Oryzias latipes: one gene and its partners. The protein of the gene in region 3 interacts with the protein of the main gene of each other region in a pairwise test. Links are inferred from orthologs where the notes say so. Each region holds a gene or a part of one and is shown on either strand. Other genes may lie near its edges. The genes, in order: traf3ip1, pfdn1 and immt.

The links.
Region 1: the proteins of immt (region 3) and traf3ip1 interact in a two-hybrid assay, tested with the Homo sapiens proteins (2 studies listed by BioGRID and IntAct). The link is inferred for Oryzias latipes from reciprocal best matches to the Homo sapiens genes IMMT and TRAF3IP1.
Region 2: the proteins of immt (region 3) and pfdn1 interact in a two-hybrid assay, tested with the Homo sapiens proteins (2 studies listed by BioGRID and IntAct). The link is inferred for Oryzias latipes from reciprocal best matches to the Homo sapiens genes IMMT and PFDN1.

Annotation. Positions count from the first base shown.
Region 1 is NC_019879.2:26,421,975-26,425,624, forward strand, and holds part of traf3ip1 (TRAF3-interacting protein 1), read right to left. Parts: intron 2,074-3,650; coding exon 1,912-2,073; intron 1,427-1,911; coding exon 1,268-1,426; intron 1,163-1,267; coding exon 797-1,162; intron 713-796; coding exon 635-712; intron 532-634; coding exon 511-531; intron 1-510.
Region 2 is NC_019872.2:23,089,982-23,094,159, reverse strand, and holds pfdn1 (prefoldin subunit 1), read right to left. Parts: upstream 2,809-4,178; 5' UTR 2,743-2,808; coding exon 2,644-2,742; intron 1,939-2,643; coding exon 1,772-1,938; intron 345-1,771; coding exon 260-344; intron 178-259; coding exon 94-177; 3' UTR 41-93; downstream 1-40. UniProt on the Homo sapiens protein: Binds specifically to cytosolic chaperonin (c-CPN) and transfers target proteins to it. Binds to nascent polypeptide chain and promotes folding in an environment in which there are many competing pathways for nonnative proteins.
Region 3 is NC_019868.2:4,710,655-4,714,304, reverse strand, and holds part of immt (MICOS complex subunit MIC60), read right to left. Parts: intron 3,028-3,650; coding exon 2,935-3,027; intron 2,749-2,934; coding exon 2,593-2,748; intron 2,446-2,592; coding exon 2,312-2,445; intron 1,670-2,311; coding exon 1,563-1,669; intron 1,315-1,562; coding exon 1,179-1,314; intron 1-1,178. UniProt on the Homo sapiens protein: Component of the MICOS complex, a large protein complex of the mitochondrial inner membrane that plays crucial roles in the maintenance of crista junctions, inner membrane architecture, and formation of contact sites to the outer membrane.

The DNA of each region.
Region 1 (3,650 bases), on a different chromosome or scaffold from region 3:
CCCCCCGCTCCACAAAGATGGACAAACAGATCCATAAACGATTTGGTTTCCCTCGTCTGAACTGGCATTTGGCTCAAAACTTTAAGAACTGGAAAGCGCCAATATTCTTCGCCATTTTTGCTTCACCGGTCATTTTTTTGTTAGGAGTGGGTGAAGCTGTAAGGTAGTGGGAGAGCATGTAAATAGAAGGGTGGCGGGCTTATGCGGTTTACGCCAATAATCCCGCCCACAACTCGGGGGTGAATTTCTAATGAGCTGCTGCTCTGCAGACCCTAGAAAGTGACACCAGCATTTTGATTAAGCCTGTAATCATAATTAATTCAGCTCTATTCAATAAGATGTTATTTATATAATATTACAACGCAGGTATCTCAACGTGCTTTTAGGTAGAAAACCTAAAATCAGTTATAAAATACAAAGCTAAATTCACTAGGAAAGCTTTGAAATTAGACCCATAGATGATTGGAGTGGGACTTTTAGAGGCAGAACTGTTTTCTAGGGTTTCATTACCTCTTCATCAGGATTTGGTTCCTTGCAAAAACACGAGTTACAACAATAGAAAAATTCATTTATATTTAATAAATCCTAAAATTGTGCAGATTAGCTTCCTAATTATACTAAATGATAAACTTACCGGTGTCCCCGTTTTGGCTGTTTGACTGTTGATCTCATCAGAACTGGGTTTCTGCTCCGGTTCTTCTGGCTCTCTGGTCTGAACACAAAAGCATCTGTATAATATCTACCATTCTTTGCTACTAATATATAATCAGACATTAAGGGAAGTGAAGTTTTGTACCCTTTTATCCCCACTTTCTGCACGTTTGTTCTGCTCCCCTTTGCCGTTTTGTCGCTCTCTGTCTTTTTCCTTGTGCTTTCCTTTGTCCCGGTCTCTGTGAGAATCTCTGTCTTTGTCTCTTTGCCGATCTCTTGTTCTGTCCTGCTCCTTCTCCTTGTCCCGAGCGCGTCCATTGTGGCGTTCTTGCTCCTGGTCTCGACTCTTTTCTCTTTCTGCTGCGGGCTTTTGGTCGCTGCGATGGCGCCTGTCAGAGTGGTCACGGTCACGCCGGCGCTCCTTCTGCTCGCCCTTGAGCTGCTGATCTTTGGGCTTCACTGTGTCTTTCTCTTCTCGACTGCTGCTGCGCTCGGTTAATCTTTTCTTCCCCTGAAATGGTTGAAGTGAAAAAGAACATAGACAAAAAATACACAGAAAAACAAACAACTGATTAAACAAAAACAAAAAAAGAGGGCATCTGTACTGAGAACTCACATCTCTATCTAGACCATGGCTGCGCTCCTCCCTGTGCCTCTTGTCCTGGGATTTCTCTCGGGATTTGTCCTGGGATTTGTCCTGGGATGTGCCAATCTTGGTTTTTGGGTCCACCTTTCCTCTTGAGAGCACTTGCTTCACTGCTTCATCACTGGATAACTGCAAAAAGATAAAACGAAAATAGAATTCCACTCCTGTGACAAATCAAACCTGAGATGCTTAGCTTTTGTCGAACTGATCTGACTCGCTACTATTTTTCACTCACTTTACAATATTTCTCCACAAGGGAGAAACCTCCAGATCGATAATCACGTTTGTCACATACGTATCTGTAAGTTGTGAGACGTTTTTATGTTGCCAATAACTGTTTCCATATTGTTTAGAGGAAGAAGTCCCAGAGCATCAGTTCATCCGTTTCCTCCCATCTCCAGGGTACAATTAAAGCTTTCCAGGTTTTTCCTGAAGCTAAACAACCATTTCCTACAGAGTGTTGTTAATCTAATGAATGTGAAAAATAGATTTAGGTTTTTGAGTTTTCACACAACAGTTTGGTCTCCGGAGTAACTGAGTTAACATTAAGCAATCATAAAAAATGTCTTTTCTCGTGTTTTTTTTTCTGTGTGTGATCTTTCAGTGACACTGACCTTGTTGAGGCAGCATCTGCCGATGGCCTGCAGCAGCTCGTTGGTTTTCTCCGGTTCGTGCCCAGCAACTATTCGTGCAGGCTTTGCCGTTAACGGCTCGCCACTTACCAACGCCACAACGTCTATGGCTTTCTGGAGGAAAGACATTCTTGCTTCTTTGCCCTGAAAAAAGAAAAGGATCACCAGAAAGGTGAGTACAAAAACATATCTGGAAAAAGAAGGAATTCAAGGGTTCTCCCTTTTTTATTTTTTATTTTTGTAAGCACCACTTTCTAGTTTACCAGTGAATGTTGTGACCATTAAATAACAATTATACATAAGAGGAACCAGCAATTTAAAAATTGCTCCTCTTTGTAAGACGGAAATCAAAAGGCATATTTTAAAAACGTTTACGGAAAACCTTTTTGTTTTGTGAGACGGCAGAAATTCATGCTTCCAAAAACTAATAGGACAAATCTGCAAAAAAGCACAATTAGTTAAAGATTATTCACTCCATCCTTTTAGGTTTTCTAGAAAATGCTAAACTAAAAAGTACTTTCATGTCACCTAACTGTAAGAGCGTCTCTACTTTGCTTTTTTTTGGGTACAATCTGTAATTTAATGCTACATATTCAAGATAGGATCTAAGTAATGGTCCTGCACAAAAGACTCTTAATGGTTGAAATTAAATGAAAAAGAAAATGGGGAAAAAAAACACAAGTGGGTCCAATTTTTGTCTCTTTGATGTGAGGCACCAAATGATGTCCCAGGAGGATACATTACTTCACAAATCACATGAACGGGGATCCATTTTTTCCACTTTTCCTCCAGCCTCACTCTAACATAAATCCACTATTTGAAAAGTTGTAAAATGCAGGTTTGGATGAGAGCTCTCTGTTCACAGAGAAACAGCAACCCTGAAAAATTACAAATGTTTGGTAACAATAATCAGTTCTCATCAATTTAAAAATAAAAAAATGATAAAACAAATAAGTGAAAAATACATTTCTAGATGGTCAGATAAATGATTTCAACGATGCTTGATCTGAAACTTGCTTGAGTGCAGCTTTCTGTTGGTGGAATTTGGCAGAATTCAGGCAAAACTGAAGTGAGTCCCACTTACTAAGGATAAGCACTACTACAGGCTCATGTGCCAACAGCCGACTAGAGTTTTAACACCTCAGAAAACCTTCTCAGAGCCAGAGCCTGTCACCAAAGAGCTTCTCTTTCAGCCTGGGTGTTCTCTTACGCCATGCGCAGACGGCGCAGACTGCGCAGATGGCGCAGACATATTTCAGCTACACAAGGTCGACCTGGTCTTCTGTTACTTTTCAGAACAAAAAGCATTTGTGCAAAATAATAATAATTAGAACAGATTAGTTATTAAATAAGTCAGCAGAACATGAACAAACCAAAAAATGTGCTACACAATGTTACAATTTGTTTATGCTAAAGTTATGTAGAATAGTTAAGTTTAAAATTATCCTTATTGGAATTATTTACTATATGCAAAAATGTACAACATTTACTTTAATACATATATATATTTATTTTAATAATGTATGTTTATATGTAATGTTAAATATATTCGTTTTTATATTTTTTTACTTGAGTAAGATGTTCTATTTATCATCCATGTTTTCCTACAGATATTCCCTTCATTTTATATATAGATATAGAAGTTTATTTTCTTTTAGGGGGACTTTCCGCTCTTTATTTTGTCAAATCTAACCGGCTCTCCTTACATTTAAACAGGTTTT
Region 2 (4,178 bases), on a different chromosome or scaffold from region 3:
ATGGTCCTCACAGACCTTTAGGAGACACTTCACACCAACACAGAGGGGTGGGAGGGGCTTTATTGGGATCACGTGGCACAGAAAAAAAACGGATTACGGAGCTCTTCTGGACAGCAGCATCTCTCTGATGTTGTCTTCAGCCTCCTTCACGCTGCGCTCCAAGTACACCTTCTTCTGCTGCAAGAGACCACAAACGGGCAGCAACAGTCAGAAACCCGCAAACATGCACTGCGAGCTGTGATGGAGCAGGCACTCGCACCTCAAGCTCCTTGATCTTCTCGTCCACGGTTTTCTGTTTGTCTGTCAGCAGGTTGTTGATCTTCTCCCTGGACTGAAGAATGAACCTGAAACAACAGTTTTCTGTCATCTATAGGATCGGCAGGGCAGATGAACCTAAAGGCAGCATTCAGACATTAACGTTTCTTTATACCATGGTCCGGGTGAATACTCGATTCTGATTGGCTGCTGGGTGTGCATTAAAGTGATAATCCACGGTGATAATGTACGCCTAAAAAAGAAGTTCCGGGCACATAGCTTAACTGTTCTGTATCACTGCACTGGCTTCTTTAAAACAAACTTCAGCCTCATCATCTGGACTAAAAGAGGTAAACTTTCTCTCTGAACTGATGCTTTATTTAACCCGTGGTGACGATCAGCATATATATTGCTTTCCTTTGCCGCAGCAGTCGAGGTCAGTGGGGCTAAGCAGCGCGTTATGTTACCGTGACACGTAACAAATAGTCGACTTTTTGTGAAGAGAAAAAAAAGAGATTGGAACCATAAAAATGTTAGAATGAAAGGCCTAAAAACTGGTTATATATTTATTTCTTTTGTAAGTAATCATGGTAGCAGCGGATTAACGGCTGTCAAAGTGGGCACAATCAGAAATTAATGCACTTTATGGAAGCAACTGCGGAGGACGGTTGCTTCCACAAAGTGCATTCATTCATTCATTTTCTTCCGTTTGTTCCCTTTCGGAGTCACGGGGCTGCCGGAGCCTATCCCGGCCACTTATGGGTGAAGGCAGAGGACACCCTGGACAGGTCGCCAGTCTGCCGCAGGGTCACAGTCACACACCCATTCACACTCACATTCACACCTATGGACAATTTAGAGTTGCCAATTAACCTATGGAGCATCTTTTTGGACGGTGGGAGGAAGCTGGAGACCCCGGAGAAAACCCATGCATGCACGAGGAGAACATGCAAACTCAATGCAGAAAGGTCCCCCATTGATGTTCTGTTTCAGGTCCCCCAGCCGGGACTTGAACCAGTGGCCTTCTTGCTCCGAGGCAAGAGTGCTATCAGCATTAACGCATAAAGTGCATTAATGCTGATAAAGCACACTTTGTTGGCCATTAACCCTTATGTAGCTCAGTGTTTGTGCAGATCAGTTGCTAAACGCACATCCTCTTCAAACTTGTGTATAAAAGTGTTGACTGGATGTGAAGTTCATAAAGTCAATCAGGTCAGACAGAATTCCTCTGTCTGGAACTCTCATGGAGCCTCAGTAGCATCAATGAGGCCAATCAAAACCTCTCCAAAAAGAAATTTATGTGAATCTGGTGGAGATCTCCTTAAAATAAATGTAAAGTTTTCAAAATAAGAGGCACATGGTTTCACAACTGCAGTAGAACCGTGTGACACTGAGATTTCCAAAGCAGAACCAGACATTTGATGGAAAAACCAGACTGGTTTCATGTTTTTCAGATGTGTCTAACTCATCTGTGTTCTTTGGTGAGTTGGCATTGATTACAGGAGAGCACACTTACATTCGGCCGACGCCCTCGTACAGGCGCGTGTTTTCCGGCAGCGAGGAGATCTCTGTGCTTGTGAGCTTGGCATGTTTCTGAACTCGAGTCAGCTGATCAATCTGGAGGTCGGCCAGCTTCACCTTCTGCTGTGTGTCAATCATCTTCAGCTGTAGCTCGGCGAATGCCTGCAGAGACAGGAAGTATCGCTCTGTTCAAAGTCGAAAAGGAAACCAGGAGAGAATCAGAGTTTCACTATTTCTCCCATCTCTTCCTTTTCTCTGGCTTGATTCAGGAAGTCAAACAGAAAAATGAAACACTGCCTCTCCTGTAAATCAGTTAACAAGCAAAGCGATCTGCTACATGAAGGTAGTCTATGAAGATATAAACCTGGACCATTTAAATGTTTGCATAAAGGAGGTAAAAAAAAAAAACGACATCTGACCTAAAATAATCCACGACACTGAAAGATGGAAAACTGGACTTTAACATTTACAAGCATGTTTGTCATAATCTGGTTTCCTCAAACCCCATCATCTTTTGTCTCAGTGTTAATACCGCAAAGGATTGTGGGATTGGAATATGGTCCACCCGATCAGAAAGGATGCTCGGCCGTTTCAAAGAGATGGGGGGGGGGGGGCAACCTCAAAACTCATTTTGCTCTAAGGGGTTCAAAGATTCGGTGCAGGTACACAATGGTCCGGTTCACATGTTTGTTACTAGTGAAGTGACCGGTCAGCCGAATTTCGTGAACCTTCCGCGTGCACCACTGAATGCGGTATGGGTCACACTAATAACTACCAGCGGTAGCTGCCTGTAACCCAATATCGGAGAGTATGCGCAACCACGTGCGTCAGACATATGATGTGTTCGGCGTCCTGTAAACTACACACCTTTTTTAGTTCCAGGTCCACGGGCGCCGCCATCTTTAGAGTAGATTTCGAGTGCGCATGCGCAAGATTGTCTTCTTCGGGCTTATTTTGTGGCAGCATCAAGTTTGCCCACAGCCCCTCCCAGTAACGATGATCTATTTAAACTCCCCGTGACCTTTTTTTTAAAAAAAATAAAAACGTTCCCAGTGGTGTTTTAGTTACAATTACGACGTTTTTTTTAACTAAAATTCCACAAGCCAAATGTCTTTAAAATGTCATGTTTATCTGAAGCGTGTTTCCAAGAACTCCTCTACATGGGCGTGGCTATTGGTGCTGATTAGCTCCGCCCTCGATTCCCCCTATCTGCAAGCTGCGTCTTGCCTGAGTGAAGACCGATAGACAGTCCCAGAAATTGTAAAAATTGTTGAATACACTTGCATAGCACTATTCACACGTCATTTTCCAAATACTTGTGGCCAGTGCAAAACTTAATTCTTGAACACCCGGACCCAGAGGAAAGGTTAAGTTTAGTGTTATGGTTACATTTAAGGTGCGTTCACACTGAACGAGATTCGTGGCAGAGGTGGCCAGTTAAGGCCCGTACACACCGGGACGAATTTCGCGCGCGATATTCGCCGATGTTTAACGCCTCATGACTAAACAAAGGGCACCAATGTGAGTGTGCACACCGACGTGAAAAAACGCCACGCTTCAAAGCGTCACTTTATAAAAAATGCCTCGGGTTCGTTTTTTTGGTTTGGCGCCACGCGGCAAAAACTATACGACTAATGAGAATGGGGCTTTTGGACACGTGTCTGGAGCTTCTGAAGTTACAGTAAAACACAACTTGGGGGCGCTCAAACACAAAACTGCCTTTCTGAGCACACATACCAGCGAAGAAGATAAGACGCCAAGTGGAATCTACACTGCCGCAAAGAAATAATGACGGACATTCTAAAATATCCCCGAAAACGCTCATGATACATTTTTAGCTCTCGTACCAGTCGATAAAACTCCCCATGTTCTTCTCTTCTCGTAACTATGGGATGTACCCAAAATCTGCGTCTTTTCCAGCGTCTTTCATCGTTTGCTGTGGTGTCATCGGTATAAAGGTATTGTACTGCAAATAATGATCCTGTGTTAATAAAACTTTGACTTGCTTTACGGCAGTTATCAGTCTTTACTCGGTGCAACACATCATTCAACAGAACAATAATTTCTTCATTGCTGGAACTGGAGCTACTGGTGCTGGAAATATTCATGTTTTCTTTGTTTGATTCTGACAAGCGCGTAAATACTTGCTCTCTTCTTCTGAGTGAAAAGCGACTTTAAGAAGCGTAAAGTTGCGCAGCGCCACCTTGTGTACAGGGGTATTTCTGTTTTACATTAAGCGCCATCTAAAGTCAGGGAATGAAATTGCATGTTCGCTTGGCTCATCGTCAGCGAAAATCGCCTGGGTGTGAACAAAAAAAACGTGGCGAAAAACGCTGGCGAATAATGCCTGGTGAATATTCGTCCCGGTGTGTACGGGCCTTTACAATGGCAATGGTTGAGTC
Region 3 (3,650 bases):
TTCAAACGTCTCCCTCCTCTCCTCAGCGAAACACCAGACATAAAGCCCCCGCCCCCAACAGGCCGCCTTCAGCAGCTCTCTGCCATTCACGGCCCAAGAGACGGCGTTTGATTGCTTAACTAGTCCAACTATTTTTGTTTGATTTTTTCTGTGCTGCCGCTGACAAAAGGAATTTCCCCATCGTGGGATTAACAAAGTCTTCTATTCTATTCGCTGTGAATTGGGTCTACTGATGATTTAACTGCGGATCAGTCTAAGGCGGGGCTTAGACTCACCGCTTATGGTTCCAGACCCGCAACAAACTAACAGCTGCTTCCTAAAACTTAATAATAAGTAACAACTAATGATATTCTTCCTCCATACAATTTATATAATTTATTGGGTTTACTGGATTTAAAAAAAAATAAAGAAACAGAAAGGAGTCCGTATCAAAGTGAATTTGTTTCCATCATCTCACTTAACTTAATTTAACTCTGGGTGTTTGACAGACAGAAGTCCATTCAAGGTTGTCGAAAATGGACAAAAGATCAAAGGAAACATCACGCTCATAAAGAATAAAAATACTTAAATACATATCCTGTCTGGAACTTTCTCATGTATAAAGTAAAATGTTTTGTTAAAAAAACAATGTCGTTGCAAAATGAGGAAATAAAACACTTTGTTCTTAATTTGTTATTTGTATATTTATTTATTTTTCTTCCTCATAAAGTATCGATAAGAATGTAGTTAAAATACCGGATCGATAAGCAGTATCGATAAGAGTAGTAGTACCGTTACAACCTTAACGATACCCATCCCTATTTGCCACTGTGCACTTTTTGTTTCAACTTAACATAAATTATAAATCCTCCAATTTATGCTGAAGTTTGACTTTATTACTATTAAAAACTTTCAGGGAAATCTTTATTTCACTTAAAACAAAACTAAAAAATTGCTGCTGAGCCTGTTGCTCCCTGCACTTCTAGGAGGAGCTATGTCTTTGGTTGTTTATTTACCGGTACTTGTTTTTTGAAATAAACTAATTGTTTGTGTTTGTATTCTTCTAAATTGTAAAATATTGTCACCTTTACTGCAAATAAATATCGCCTCCAAATACTGATTACCTGCCTCCTTGAGTAATAATGTGTCCTCTAGCCTGAGACCGGGTTAGAGGCAGAGAGAGCAGAGCAGCTGCTAACCTGAGCCACGACTCTGTCCAGGTCCACCACCATCTTATGCAGGTTCTCTTCAGCTGCCAGGACCAGCGGGCGGACGGCGGCCACCTTCAGGTCTTTGGAGCCGTTGATGGTGGCCCTCAGACCATCCAGAGCTTCCCTGCAGGGACGAAAACACAGCTTCAGGGGACGGCGGCGCTCTGTGAGCGGCGGAAGGACACGTGCACACGCCTGAGTGCACGCTAGGAAACGAGGGGAATGTAAAAACAGTCCGACAGCTGGAGATGTTCTGCTGTTCTGAGGCCCAGAACGGCAGAGGAGTGCTGCTAAAGAGCTCAGGAACCAGCAGACAGCAGAGGTGACCTGAGGTCAACAGGGTGACATGTTTTCGGGGTGGGGGTAACTTGCTTGGCTTTCTGAAGGGCAGCTGTCGCGTCCGTCACAGCAGAGGTCCGGTCCATCAGAGCAGCTTCTAGATCCTTCCACTGGACGGACTTCTCCTCGGGAGGACTCTGCTGGGAACAGAGTGTCAGGTCACTGAACTCCTCCCTCTAACGAGCCAATCACATTCCAGAATGTTCCACTGCTGTTGCACCTTCTGTTAATCAATAATCCACATTCGTTTTCAAACCTCTATACCGTAATTCAATCTGAATAAAATCAAACCTCATCATGACAGGTTTTATTTTTGAAATGCTAATTTCCTCTCAGCCCTCCATAAAAAAAAGATGACAGACATTTTCTGTCATCTTTGGAAAAGCCGTGACAAATTTAAAATCCAGAGTTTATACTAAGAAGCTTTTGTCTACTCTTTTTTTATGTTGCTGCTGGAAGCTTGATTGGAAATGTTTATGGAGCATTTTTGTGTGTAATTTTGCTGTTAAAAAGCAAAATAATAGTCTCTGCTAAAATATTTAGTTGCTTTCATTTTAAATTACTCTCTAGAATCCTTTTAATTTATTATTATAAACAAACCTGAGCTTCCATTAACAAAATGATTCATTTCCTTATTTAAAAACTCACAAAAAAAAAAACAAGAAATCTCCCAAATGAATCAGGAATCCATTATCCAAGTAACGATGGACTCCTTTTTTTTTTTTGGGTGGTCTTCCATGACACTGACCACAGGCCCCAGGCCGCTGAGGCCATGGCAGTACCTCTGCTTCCATGGCCTCCTTCAGCTTCTGCGTGTGCTGGTTGATGGCCTGCAGCGCCGCCTCCTGGGCTCCGATGGCCTGCAGCGCTGCTCTGGCTGAACAGGCCAGAGATTCCTCCAGACTGCTGGACACCGCTGGAGAACGGCAAACATCAGACAACCGGCATGAGCCTCACGGTTCTGTTGGAAACTGTCACAAGTCGGGCGTCTGCTGAAGACCCCTCCCACACTGAGGAGACAGTTGAGGTTCTGCCTCAGAGAAATCAGGTTCTCGCGTCAAACCTGCTAAAACGTTCTGCTCATCCTGGTCCTGTTGGGCCAGACGGGCCGACACCTCCTCGGCCGGACGCTCCACCAGCTGTTCTGTGGACCCGGCGGGCGAATCGGCGCCGCTGTGGGCCGCCTCTGAGCCAACGTGGTGACACTCGTCGCAGTGCTCTGAAAAAGAGAGCGCACGCTGAAGAGCGTGCACGTGGACCACTGATAACAGCAGCAGTCAGCCCCCCCTCCACAACTATTTACTGCTAACAGTGACCCTGCTAATGGTAACCATCAACGAGTAACAACTCCCCTAGCCCTGCAGTAATCTGATTACTCTACACATGTTCCTGCTGGGTGATTTACCTGTGACCGCTGTGGGTTGGGTGTCAAACGGCGCCGGGACTGAAGGGACGTCGCTGCTGGCAGAGATGATCTGGGTGGCCTCGGCTGAAGCTCCTGGAGGAACAGACAAGGAGAAGATGAAGGTGGAGTGGACCGGTCGTGGAGAAGGACCTAAAGGTCTGACACAAACTCATCCTGAGCTCAGGATCTGTCCTTCAGTGGAACATGGTGTGTGTGAAAGGACAGGCTAGGATCTTCTCTGTCCTCTAAATCCTTGTTTTTCAACCTTTTTTGAGCCACGGCACACTTTAACCATGACAAAATCCTGCAGCACACCAGCATCCAAAAATGACAAAAAAAGAGAAACTCATAGTCTGTATTGATCTACAGCACCTCCACAATCACACGTGCATTTTTGTGATGATTGTGGCAGAAAAGCTGGAAGCTGCAGCTGTTTTTTCTAAAAGATGTAATAAAAGTTAAGTTAGAAGATTTAAAAACTGTTTGATGTGTGTTCGTTGTGGTTTCAAGACGTTAAGAGGAGAGACTCATTGTACGCTGAGATGCTGTCACTCTAACCCAATGCATTATGGGTGATGTAGTGATGTCAGACAGACTCACTTCTCTGAGCTTCATTGTTTTGTTCACCTGTTCCACGGTCTGATACCAGATTCTGTGGAAAGCTACACCGCTAAAGACGAGCTTTAGCTGGAATTTTTGTTAGAACTGAGAGACTT